Tribolium castaneum: one gene and its partners. The protein of the gene in region 3 interacts with the protein of the main gene of each other region in a pairwise test. Links are inferred from orthologs where the notes say so. Each region holds a gene or a part of one and is shown on either strand. Other genes may lie near its edges.

Region 1 (4,170 bases), on a different chromosome or scaffold from region 3:
GTCATTCAAATTTACGTACAACCGTTCTTGGAAGTGACTCATCCTCTTCCACTTCTGCGCGGCAAAAAACCGTCGAATGAATTTTGCCGGATTGTCGCAAAATAGACACAAGTCTATTTTTGTAAATAGTTTTCCTATTAATAGAGCCGCAGGATTTGCCTCACGTAGGTCAGGTTTTGCGAAAACCGATTTTTGGAGGGCCCATTGATCGTTTTTGGCACCGCTTCCTCTCATTAATCGCATCCGAGAAAAAATACTTGCGGGAATAATCAGTATTTATTCACCCAGGTTTCCCACTATTATATTTTTGTTGACCAATTTTCAAGTTTGCCAATATTGCATACAGCTGGTCCAAAAGTGATGAATAACTGTATTCATTGCAAATAATAAAAACCAATAAAAAGTAGATGTTAAACGTTTATTCTAAACAACTTGTTACAGTCAATGGTGTTTGGACTTTTTTCTGTTACTCTTATTTTCTCGTCTATTTCTACTTCTGCTCCTTTTTCTACTTTTAGAACTTCTACTATGTGAAGTTTCCTGAGATCGTCTTTTAGAACTACAGCCATTTCTCGTGTGTTTTTCTTCACGTCTTTTTTCACTAGTTGTGTACTCTAATCTTTCCGGCGATTCGGACCACCTCCAATTTCTTTCTTCTGTCTCTGATCTGCTAATACTGTAAATGAAGTACTTTTTAATAAATCTCTGAAACTGTTTAGGATAATCAAGGTTGAACTATCCTGAGAGTGTCTGAAGAGGACCTGTTCAAACCACGTTCAAACAAGCGCCTGATCGCAAAATTTGAATTGAATTTTTAAGAAACGTAATATATGTACAAAATAATTTTTTACAACTGAATATTTTTAGAATAATTACTACCGTAGATTAATTATATTCAGAAGAATTCAGATTACTGCGGAACCCTGCAGGATATTTTTTTAAATATTTTTCGAAGGCAATTTAAGGCTACACATATAATCGATAGATCTGACAATAAATTACTATTTATTGTCCTGAAGAAGCCCCAAGAAGGTGGCGAAACGTAGACAATATATCACGTACCAAAAAATAAACATGACTGCATTCCCGAATAATTAATAATACCTTAATGACTTATTTATAATACGTACTGTATTTTTTAATTCGTTAAAATTTTGATAAAAATATTTAAAACGAGATAAAAGAGATAACAACTGGTCTGTGATGTAATGATTTAACCTAGGAACAACATCCAATTGTAAAAAACAATTTGTTCGTTATTTTTCTTAATAATTGAGTTTCAAATTTGCTCAGTGTAGTTCTACCTTAAATATTATTTTACTACCTCCTAGACGGTGTCCTATGCTCATCTCTGTCAGCCAAATGAAACATGTTTTGTGGATTAGGAAACACGTGGAGAAAATTGCAAGAACTGCCTTTGGGACACTTTTTGCGACTATGCAAACCTGAAAACCTTTCCCTAAGCGAAAGAAAATAATAATCTCACAGATAACTCACCACAAATCGCCGACTTCCAAGACTCAATATTGCAAAACTCGACGCTTAGCTGTCTGCCCCCATACCAGCGTCCGTTAAAGACTTGAAAGCTTTTAACAGCCTCTCGAGTCGTGCTATACTCCACATAAACATTTCCCCGTAAATGCGATTCGCGATTACAACAAACTTTAAATTGCCGAATTCGCCCAAAGCGTTCCATTTCGGGCAAAACGTCGAAAAAGAAGTCCTTAAAGTGCGAATACGTCTCGTGATTTTCAAACTCTAGCGACGAATCATCATATTCATTTTCGGTCTGTTCTAAACTATAGTGTGAATAGAAATTCGGAATGAGCAAAATCCGACTAACTCCCGGCTTGATGTGGTTGCGAGAGCACGAGTCTCTGAAGCGACAAGCCGAGGTTTTTTGGAAAAATGGACAAACTGGTTTGTTTGGATTCATTTCAACGCTGACTTTGAGGTGCTCAGGGGTGTCGCCCCCATTGGCGATAAAGTTTTCGATCTCGTCTCGAAGTTGTTGTTGCCTTTTTTCGTTTTCTTCGCGTTCGCGCTCCTTGGCTTCTTTTAGTTCTTTGAGACGTTTTTGTTCCTTTTCCCATTCGAGTTTAATAAGAAGGTTTTGGCGGATTCTTTCTTCACGCGCTTCCTCAAGCTTCTTCTGCAACTCCCGCCACTGTCTCTGGGCCTCTTCTTCGATCTTCAACCAGCGCTGCTCCGCTTCGGCCCTCAACCGGGCCTCTTCTTCCTCCTGAAACGCCTCCTCTTCTTCATATTTTTGGAGGAGTTGGAGGTATGTTGGCGATTGTTCTCGTCTTCTTTGTTCTGTATTATGAAAAGAATAATTGTTGGGCTGTTGATTAAACAGTCGAGACACAAACCTTCCTCCTCTTTTTCATGTCTGATTTTTGCTAGAGACTGTCTAATGCGTTTCCTTCTAGCTCTTTTAGCGACCTTTCTCCATTTCTCATGTCTATGTAAATCATTAAGAAAACATAACGCTTATTTGTAAGAGACGTTAGTCCACAATGTATTGTTACAGCATAATTATTTTTAAAAAGGATACCTACTTCCCCATTAATTCTAGCTGAATGCCTGAAAATGTCTTCAAAAAAGATTAAAGGGGAATCAGTCGACACCTAATCCGGTGGAATATTAAGAAAATATGACAAGAAACCGCACAGACACCCCAAAGTTGCTTTATTAATTATTTTAAACCAATTTATTCCACAAATAAACACACTAGACGTAAACTATAACCTTAAAAACTGTCAGCCACAGCTGTCAATGTCAAAGGCGAATTACCGATTGTGCTTCAGCCTGAATTGGGCTTAATACCGAAGAAAAAATCTGTGTTGGTATCACTGAAAATTAAATACCGTAAAACCCCCCGACTAATTATCTAAAATTAGAATAAAACTACAAGGAAGTGATGTTTATAATTTATTATTATATTATAACAAAATACAACAAACTAGGAAAATTGTATCCGTATTAAATAATATACTAACGTAAATAATGCTTTTACAATTATTTAGCACCCTTCGCCCCATGTGGCGTTCTATGCACGTAAAAGTCACTCTCTTTTAGTTTTCTATAAAGCGAAATGTACTTCCCCGCGGAAGTTGTTCGCGGCACAATAAATTTTTCACAAAAAGCCGTCTTATTGCTCGCCGCTTTGCTCAAATTTCCATAATTCAAATTCATTAAAAATGTGAGCACAAACGTGTAGCAATTATGTCTATTTTCACTGTAGGCTTTGGACGACCAGCATTTCTGTTTACAAACTTGGAACAAAGTGTTGTCCCAATGTTCCGTCCAGGAACTTGGGACTTGGTCCAGGAGCAAGCACTGGTTCCACTGCTCGCTCCGGTGCCTCCTAAGGCCGTTTTTGTCGAATTCTACGATGGTCCCCGTCGAGGTCGTAACGCCGATGTGCAAATCCATCGAATTGTAATAATCACTAGAAAGGAATGGGTCGTAATAAATTATAATTGTATAAAACGAGCAATTACTTTAAAAAATCACCGGATGTTGGTTTTATAATTACAGAACAAGGATACTGTGATGCTCGAATGAACGGGTACGGAACTCTGCAAATAAATTAATAAATTAACAGTTAATAATCAACGGATAACCTGGATTTATTCAAAAAAATAAAAGCACGTACCTGAAGGGCAAGAGAGAAAAGTTTGTTTGCGAAAGATCGGCTCCGCATACTGGGCACGTTTCCGGCAACAAGAAACAGAAAATTTTTGGACCACAGTGCTGGAAACACACAATACCCGGATCCATTACTTTCATTGCGAATCACCTCTGCAACAATGTAATGAGCTATGAAATCGTTACCTAACACATTGGTAATATCTATTTGTGTCGAAAATTAACACACCGGGGAATACAATGAAACCACGCTTCATTTCAAACGATTTTATTTTCCGAGCTTGGTTTTTGTGTTGTAATTTTTGAATTTTCGTCACAAAAAAATAATACAGAAAAAAAATGAAAGATAAACTTCAAAATTAATTAAAAAATCGATTTAGGTGATGTAGCAGTAAAATTAAATATTTTTACACTAGTTGTTTTCGAAATTTGTAAACTTTTTACCAATTTTGAACACACTGGAGGAAAGATATAGCCCTTCTCTTCTCCAAATACAATTTAAAAAGGGCAGAATAA
Region 2 (2,884 bases), on a different chromosome or scaffold from region 3:
GCATCCACGATTTTTTAATTCACCCAGTTTTTCAATGACGCAAATCGTAAAGTTACTATGAATTATGTAATGAATCCGCGTTTCACCACACATGCAGTGCTTTTACGCACGTTCCATTTCGTTCCGAAGAGAATGTTTGGGGAATTTTGACAGTCAATAAGAGCGCAAACAGCGAACTTTCCGCGTTGTTAATGTTGTTTTGCACAAAATGCCAAACGTGTTTAATCGGAACAAACAGTAGCTTGTTATTTCTAGAATTACCCACAGTTTTATTGTTTTGGGAAAAATGTTACATTACAACTCATATGGTTACAAAATACATTTCCAAATTCTACACATTGATCGATCAAGGTCTTATCACTACTCTAAAAGCGGTTATTTAATCAATGACTGCAATATAATACGGCCTTGACCAAATTCACCCACCTGTAACTCCCGGAATCCTGTCAAAGTTTAAAACTTAGAACTAAATGACCTTAATCCCTCATAACCGGAAATATTGATCAAAGTTTGCAGAATCCGAAATCCTATTACGAGGTACAAGTTGATTCCTGTTACGGCATTTATTATGAAGCAAAATACGTCAAAATGCCAGACAAACAGGTTGGGTGTTGATAAAAAAATTCGGCTGAAAATTCAAAAACAAACTTTTTTGCCTTATAAGAAAAACGCAATTCACAAACATTACACACGAGATTAAAAAACATTTCATAGTAACGATTAGTCCTTATCTAACAATGTGCTAGTGCTTTTCATCGAATCAAAACAAATAATCCTTAACGGTTTACTGCGTAAACAAATTTTGATAAAACTCGTACGAGGTATTATCAGGTTGAGACTTGTTACGTCCTGCATTAATGCAATATGTTCAAAAAACGTGTGCCGACTTGTCGGGGCAAACGGACGATGTCTTTGAATTTGAATTCTAACGAAACACATTGACCGTTCTTTCCATGAATGGCCAAAATCACCTTTGAACACCTGGCCAAAGTCTGTTCGGCCTTGCCTTCAGGATGCTCTCATTTCACCGGATCAGAATCGGTGAATTCCCTGCAATTCCGGCGGAATATCCACTTATCTTTCGTAATTGAAAAAATCTAGCGTACTTTCAGAATGAGTAATCAAATATTCGAGCTGGGGATTCCTCGAAACTCACATCTCGAGTTCCTTTTATCCCCCTCTTTGCGCAGCTCTGGCGCTGATATAAAAGGAAAACCGGCGCATTTTGCGTCATTACACGGCAAAAACTGGTGAAGTTCGTTACATGTGAAAGCCAAAAGTTAGCTATTACACAACGTTTTGAAAACGGTGTCGTCACATTGTGCCATTCAGGATTACGGAGTGCCCAGTGCCCTAAAGTGAATTCGGTAGTGAAACCCCCAAGAAATTCAACAACCATGTGTATCCTCAAATTGAAAAACGTGGATAAATGCAAAATGATCAACAGGTACTAACTACTAACATTCAATTGCTTGTTGAACTGTTGAGTGAAAGCGTGCCATGGAGCTACAACCCAAGTTTGCTTTTTCTTGCAGAAATAAACTGGGGAGGGCCCTTCAGGGCGTCCTGACTCAGGCCAAGACGGAGGGCCGCTTGATCTGTGGCCTGCTCCCGGCCATCTCCTGTCTGGAGAACTCGTTGGAGGATGTCCTCCTTTGCGTCCTTCCTCAAACCAGACCTGGGGACGCCACCACTCACATGCAGACTGTCCTACTTCAGGCCTTCTGCTTCGAAAACTATATCCCTGTCATTCAGGTAAATACCCTTGAGGTTGTAACCAGTCCAAGTGCTAATTTGTGTTGCTTGTTGCAGGTCGATAGTAGTGAAAAACTAGCACAATATTGCGGATTGGGGTCACGAGTTGGATGTCCTTGCGCTGTTATAACCAAAGACATGGAGGCACAACAGGACCCCCCGCTTTCACCCTCAGAGCAAGAGTTGACAGACTTTTACGAGTGCACCATTGAGGAATTCCCAAGACCTGTCTTGGAACTCCCCGGATGATTGAGCAAAAAATGAACAAGTGGTCTTAATTGTGACCAAAGGTTAAAATGAAATTATACCCAAGTTATACCGGTGACACGGTCCCGGTGTGTGCTATGATTTAGCAGTCATATGAGAATTATTGTATTGTTAATAATTTGTTGATAAGTTTGTATTTGTAATTAATATTGTTCTGGGAACCGTGTATCACGATGAAGGGATTTCGTGATACACCTATTGTACTTATTGATGAATTGAAAATACTGATGTATTTTAAAACAGTTTGTTCGAATAAATGATTTACGATATTTGATGTTTTTTATTCATTGGCCTCATTGACTAAATATGTAATTTGATGGAGAGCAACGTTGGTCATAAAAACTCTGAGAAAATAATAGGTGTTACGACTTGAACTAAATTGACTAAAAGAGTGAAACCTTCAATTTCCATCGGAACTATCTAGTTCATAATGTACTAATTAATCCAAGTATTATGTAATCTTGCATAATAGAGTTAAGTAACTTTTAAAGATCATTTTGGACGTAAAATCCCAACATTTAAAGCTTTATTACACAAACATGTAAACAAACTTTTTTATGGTCAAGTTGGTAAATAAATATGAACTTGTATTCGCTGGCCCGAAGAAAGTATTTTTATTTTAAGTGAAATAAACAAGCAATTTAGTATTTTTCTTCGAACCTTTATTGTAGTATCACAAATTATTTCGTTCGTTAGAAATCTTTTTCCAGCTAAAATTTAAATAATTATTAGCGGTTATTAGAGAAGTTAACCTGAAGTTGTTAATTATGTATAAACCGACTTAAAATTTACATTATATTACATATTGTAAATTTACATATGTTTGCTAGTCTTTATTTTCGGATTTATTTTTGAAATTTTC
Region 3 (4,455 bases):
CATTGCTATGCTTGTAATATGCTTTACAGAGTCCTAAGAACTCAAAAAAAAATTCTGCCCAAGCACGAATATCTGTCCTTGTTAATGGTATGCGGTGGCGATTTTAAATTTTTATTGATGCCAGAGGAGGAGATACACTGTACTAGTAATCATTTTTGGTTTTAATTGATACATCCATCATTCATGCATTTTTTTCAGAATATTTTTGTATTGTTTAAAATTGCTTTAAAAGAAAAAAAAATTGTTGAAATCTTATTCTCGAGTAAAAATGATCATTCTTAAACTTCTAGTACCATCTTTCTAAGTAGTTATTTTATTTTTGATATTTAATTCAACATCCAAAAAATGAAATATTGCAAAACTTTTGAATCTACGAAATTTTCTACCCATCTTTGTGATTCATTTTAACGGTTTTTATAAATATTATCAGTAGAAAAGGAACTTAGTACCAGTCCAACTATTTGCACCCTACAGTTGTAAAATTTTAAATACGAACACGAAAAACACAAATTGATAGCGAATAGGACATAAAGAAGACTTTACATTTTATTGTTAAATATTATGTTAATTTAAAATGCACTAATTCCTACAATTATTCTCGAAACCGAGGAATAATGCAGTGTGCATTGATTTACGATTAATTTACTTTTTGTTTATACATGATGGATGGGACACTACCAGAAACTAAAAAACACTTCAGAAATTATTTACCAATTATAGTACGTCAGCTGTCAACAGTATTTTATATTATTGCCTACAAGGCAATGTATGTAAATGTTGGAATTCACTTTAAATAATTATCGTCTCATGTTTTAAATCCACAACAACAAAAAAACTTTTTTGTTGTAAAATACATCAAATACAAACTGAATCGTATATTTTGAAAGAAACTTTGCATTATTAAATTTATTTTGAAAATTACGGTGTCAGGTTGCATTATTCCTGGAATCGCTGAATTAAAATTAAATTAAATAAAAAATTATTTAATAGTCAACCTAAATTCTGTGCAATTATTTATTTCTGAGATACGTATAGTAAAAATATAGTACTTCATTAGTAGTCTCACTTTGTATGGTCGTCATAAGGATAAGCATCTCCTTTTGACATTTGGATTCAAGTGTTCACTTTTAGGTTGAAGTGATACTTTTAACTATTAAATACTAATATTTGTAAGTATGTTTATAAGTATTAAAAAAACTGATAATTACAAATTTTTATGAATATCACCCAATACCCAATAAAATATAAAACCAGTGATAAAAAATTCCTGAAGGCAATGGAACATCTGCAAGCTTTTATCACCGATTGCGACCGTCGCACCGAGGCCGCCAAGCAACGCCTCGCCGAAACCCAAGAAGAACTATCGGCTGAAGTGGCCGTTAAAGCGAACAGCGTGCACGAATTGGCGGAACAAATCGGTCAAAAGCTCGCCAAAGCCGAGCAACTCGGCGAAGAGGGTTTTGTCGACGAAAGCATGAAACTCATGGAGGAAGTGGACGAATTGAGAAAGCGTAAATTGGAAGCCGAGCAAGAGTATCGCAATTCAATGCCGGCAAGCAGCTACCAACAACAGAAATTACGAGTTTGCGAAGTTTGTTCCGCTTATCTCGGCATACATGATAACGATCGACGTCTCGCTGATCATTTCGGCGGGAAATTACATCTTGGGTTTATTAAGATTCGGGAAAAGTTGGCCGAACTTGAGGTAAGGATATTGTGTTTTATGTACAGCTTGTACAGTCACCTAAATTGAAAATGACGCAACCAAACCCTGTCATATTCAAAAATCATCAGAGACATTTCGTTATTTATCCTTTGAAATGATTGACGATTTTTGGTTGGAGATGGTTGATTAAAAAACATGACAAATGAAACAATTTTTCACGGCCTCTTCGATAAATACATAATATTTATATATAATATAAATATATACATGCAATTTTTAAATTCCCCGCAAAAAATAAATTAGTTTGCATATTTCATTCACCAAATTAGATTGAAGTTGATGTTCCACTGGATTTAATGCATTTTTGAATCAGATACTCATTTATTTTACAAGGTTAGGTCAGAGAACGTCTAAAATTAATAAAAATATATTCTAAATTGGTGGTATTTGAATCGCTCTGGTTTATTTTTGTGCGAGATTACATCAAAAATAAAAGAAGAAAAAAGTTATTAGTAAAAATTATGTTATCCTCCCCTCCCCTCTCAAGCCCCGTAACTGGAAAATTACAAAATTAGGTCGAATTGATTAAATTTCGTTTATTTTGTTTGATTTTGAACACGTCAATAATTTTAGAAACATTTTCAAACAAACTTTGGTCAGAAGGTTGTTAAACTTAGTTTTTTGCACGATTTCACTAGAGGAGACCGAAAAAGCACCAAATTAAGTATAGCACTACACAATTCTTGTTTTTTGAGTGTTTTAGCACATTCTCCAGACAGAAATTGCAAAACTTCGTTAAAGTTAGCCGTAAAATCACCAAAACAATTAATTTATTTAGATTATTTCTCTCGATTTAATGCATTTGGACTTTATTTTGCAAGATCATTCTTAAGCTATGTTAACTGGATTAAGCTCTGTTTTGTATGAAATTTTTTGTGGTCAAAAATATGTTATTTGTGTATTTTTGGAAACACGTGTTTGCAAGATATATCTTCAGTTTCTTGCAAGAAATCGATTGAAAAATCATTTTTAGTCAAATAACATTCATTTTCCTTTTCCATATGTTTTGATATAGTTTTAAGGAATTATTTCTTAACATTTTCAAATAAAACAGCAAACAAAATTTCAACAAGTTAGACCCCATTGTTAATTCGAGGTTTTCGAATTTTTAAACAGGTTTTTGAGATAAAAACGGTGTTTTTTTAAGAAAAATTTTGATTATTAGGTTATTTTTACCAGCTTTCGTCGAGAGATCTATCTATTGTTCAAGAACAATAAATTTTAGTTAAATAGTACTGCTATTTCTGCGTTTCCCAAGAATTCAAGCACTTTTTAGAGCTAAGGTATCATTTTTTCTGAAGATTTCGATGAATTTAAATTCAAAATTATCTTGTTTTTGTCTTTTTTTAGCATTATTTAGCAGGATATTCTTATTTAGAATAGAAACTAAGAACAAATCGAAAAGTTTCCCAGTTATACTAAAGTGGGTGTTATTTTAGTTTTCTTCGAGTTTTGTTGAAGCAAAAAAAGTTCTTTTCGAAAATTTTAGGTAAAATTGGGGAAAAAAATATCTAATTAGATCGAAATTGATGTTAATTGTCTTTTTTAGATCGACTTTACAAAAGAACTCGTTAAAACACAACAAAAAATTACAAAATAAATGGAAATTGATGTTAGTGTCTCTCGATTTAGCTCATTTTGGAGCAAAATTACTTCAAAATAAGCCGAAAAACCGTAACATTCGGTCTGAAATCATGTTCCGTTTTTGAGTTAAAAATATTAGGTTTAGAGATGTCGCTAAAGAAAACCAAAAAATCACCAACTTTTGGCTTTTTACACTTTAGTGCTTTATTTAAAAAAAAATGGGCATAAGTGGCTGTAAAAACATCAAATTTGATCGAATTAATGTTAATCTTATTTTATTTCAGTCATTTTCAAGTCTTGAACCTGAAACTTATTTATTCTATTAAATGCTCCCAGAAATCACAATAAATCACATAAAGTGATCATAATAAGATTAAAATATTTTGCCTGTTTCAGGCAATTTCTTTTGTTTTTAAGCGAAATTTCGTCAAGATAGGCTGAAAAATGTCAAAATGTCGACCAGAAAAAGGTTTTTTTTTTCTCAAGCTTCTAAACACGTTTTTGAGTTTCTTAACTAAATAAATCGTGCATAAAGCTCATCTAATTGGCCAAAACTCAAAAAAAATTTAAATTTTTCAGTATTAATTGACCTGCTTTAAGTATAAATTAAATTTAGAAAGTAAATTCACTCCAAACTCAATAATAAATCGACATTTTTTCATTATTCTTTCTTCACATTAGATTAAAATTAACCATTTGGAGACTAGAAACGTCGCAACGAATTAAAAATAAATATTTTAATGCCATCTTTAACGTAGTCAATATCAACCACTTTAAGGAGTTTTAAGTAATTTCAAAATATTTTATACTTTTATATATTGTAGAAAAACGCCGAGAAACGGAAGGAGGAAAAGCGCAAGTCCTCCCGTGACAGAGACCGGGACGATCGGGAAGATAGATACAGGGAGAGACACCGCGAGCAGTATGTCGGGGGGCGCGAACTGGACAGACGCTCCAAAAGACACCGTTCCAGATCCTGGGACCGCAAAGAAAGGGAAAAGAATGACAGGGATCGGGATAACAGGTCTCGATCGCATCGCTCCAGATCCAGGAGTCGGGAACGGCGCTCACACTCGCGCCACTCAAGTTCCAGCGATAAGAGAAGGGACCGCGACCGGGATTAAATTGTTTCGAGTAATATATTT

The links.
Region 1: the proteins of putative RNA-binding protein Luc7-like 2 (region 3) and U2 small nuclear ribonucleoprotein auxiliary factor 35 kDa subunit-related protein 2 interact in binary tests that used the Homo sapiens proteins (3 or more experiments, as listed by UniProt). The link is inferred for Tribolium castaneum from reciprocal best matches to the Homo sapiens genes LUC7L2 and ZRSR2.
Region 2: the proteins of putative RNA-binding protein Luc7-like 2 (region 3) and Gadd45 interact in a two-hybrid assay, tested with the Homo sapiens proteins (2 studies listed by BioGRID and IntAct). The link is inferred for Tribolium castaneum from reciprocal best matches to the Homo sapiens genes LUC7L2 and GADD45G.

The regions. Positions count from the first base shown.
Region 1 is NC_087398.1:7,930,359-7,934,528, reverse strand, and holds U2 small nuclear ribonucleoprotein auxiliary factor 35 kDa subunit-related protein 2, read right to left. Parts: upstream 2,804-4,170; 5' UTR 2,570-2,803; coding exon 2,562-2,569; intron 2,465-2,561; coding exon 2,373-2,464; intron 2,317-2,372; coding exon 1,498-2,316; intron 1,446-1,497; coding exon 1,325-1,445; intron 677-1,324; coding exon 442-676; 3' UTR 405-441; downstream 1-404. Other genes in the region: MKRN2 opposite strand protein, read right to left, coding at 3,022-3,454, 3,507-3,584, 3,662-3,795. UniProt on the Homo sapiens protein: Pre-mRNA-binding protein required for splicing of both U2- and U12-type introns. Selectively interacts with the 3'-splice site of U2- and U12-type pre-mRNAs and promotes different steps in U2 and U12 intron splicing.
Region 2 is NC_087396.1:14,217,538-14,220,421, reverse strand, and holds Gadd45 (uncharacterized protein Gadd45), read left to right. Parts: upstream 1-1,210; 5' UTR 1,211-1,397; coding exon 1,398-1,447; intron 1,448-1,535; coding exon 1,536-1,755; intron 1,756-1,812; coding exon 1,813-2,004; 3' UTR 2,005-2,291; downstream 2,292-2,884. UniProt on the Homo sapiens protein: Involved in the regulation of growth and apoptosis. Mediates activation of stress-responsive MTK1/MEKK4 MAPKKK.
Region 3 is NC_087399.1:9,864,818-9,869,272, forward strand, and holds part of putative RNA-binding protein Luc7-like 2, read left to right. Parts: intron 1-1,273; coding exon 1,274-1,705; intron 1,706-4,134; coding exon 4,135-4,434; 3' UTR 4,435-4,455. UniProt on the Homo sapiens protein: May bind to RNA via its Arg/Ser-rich domain.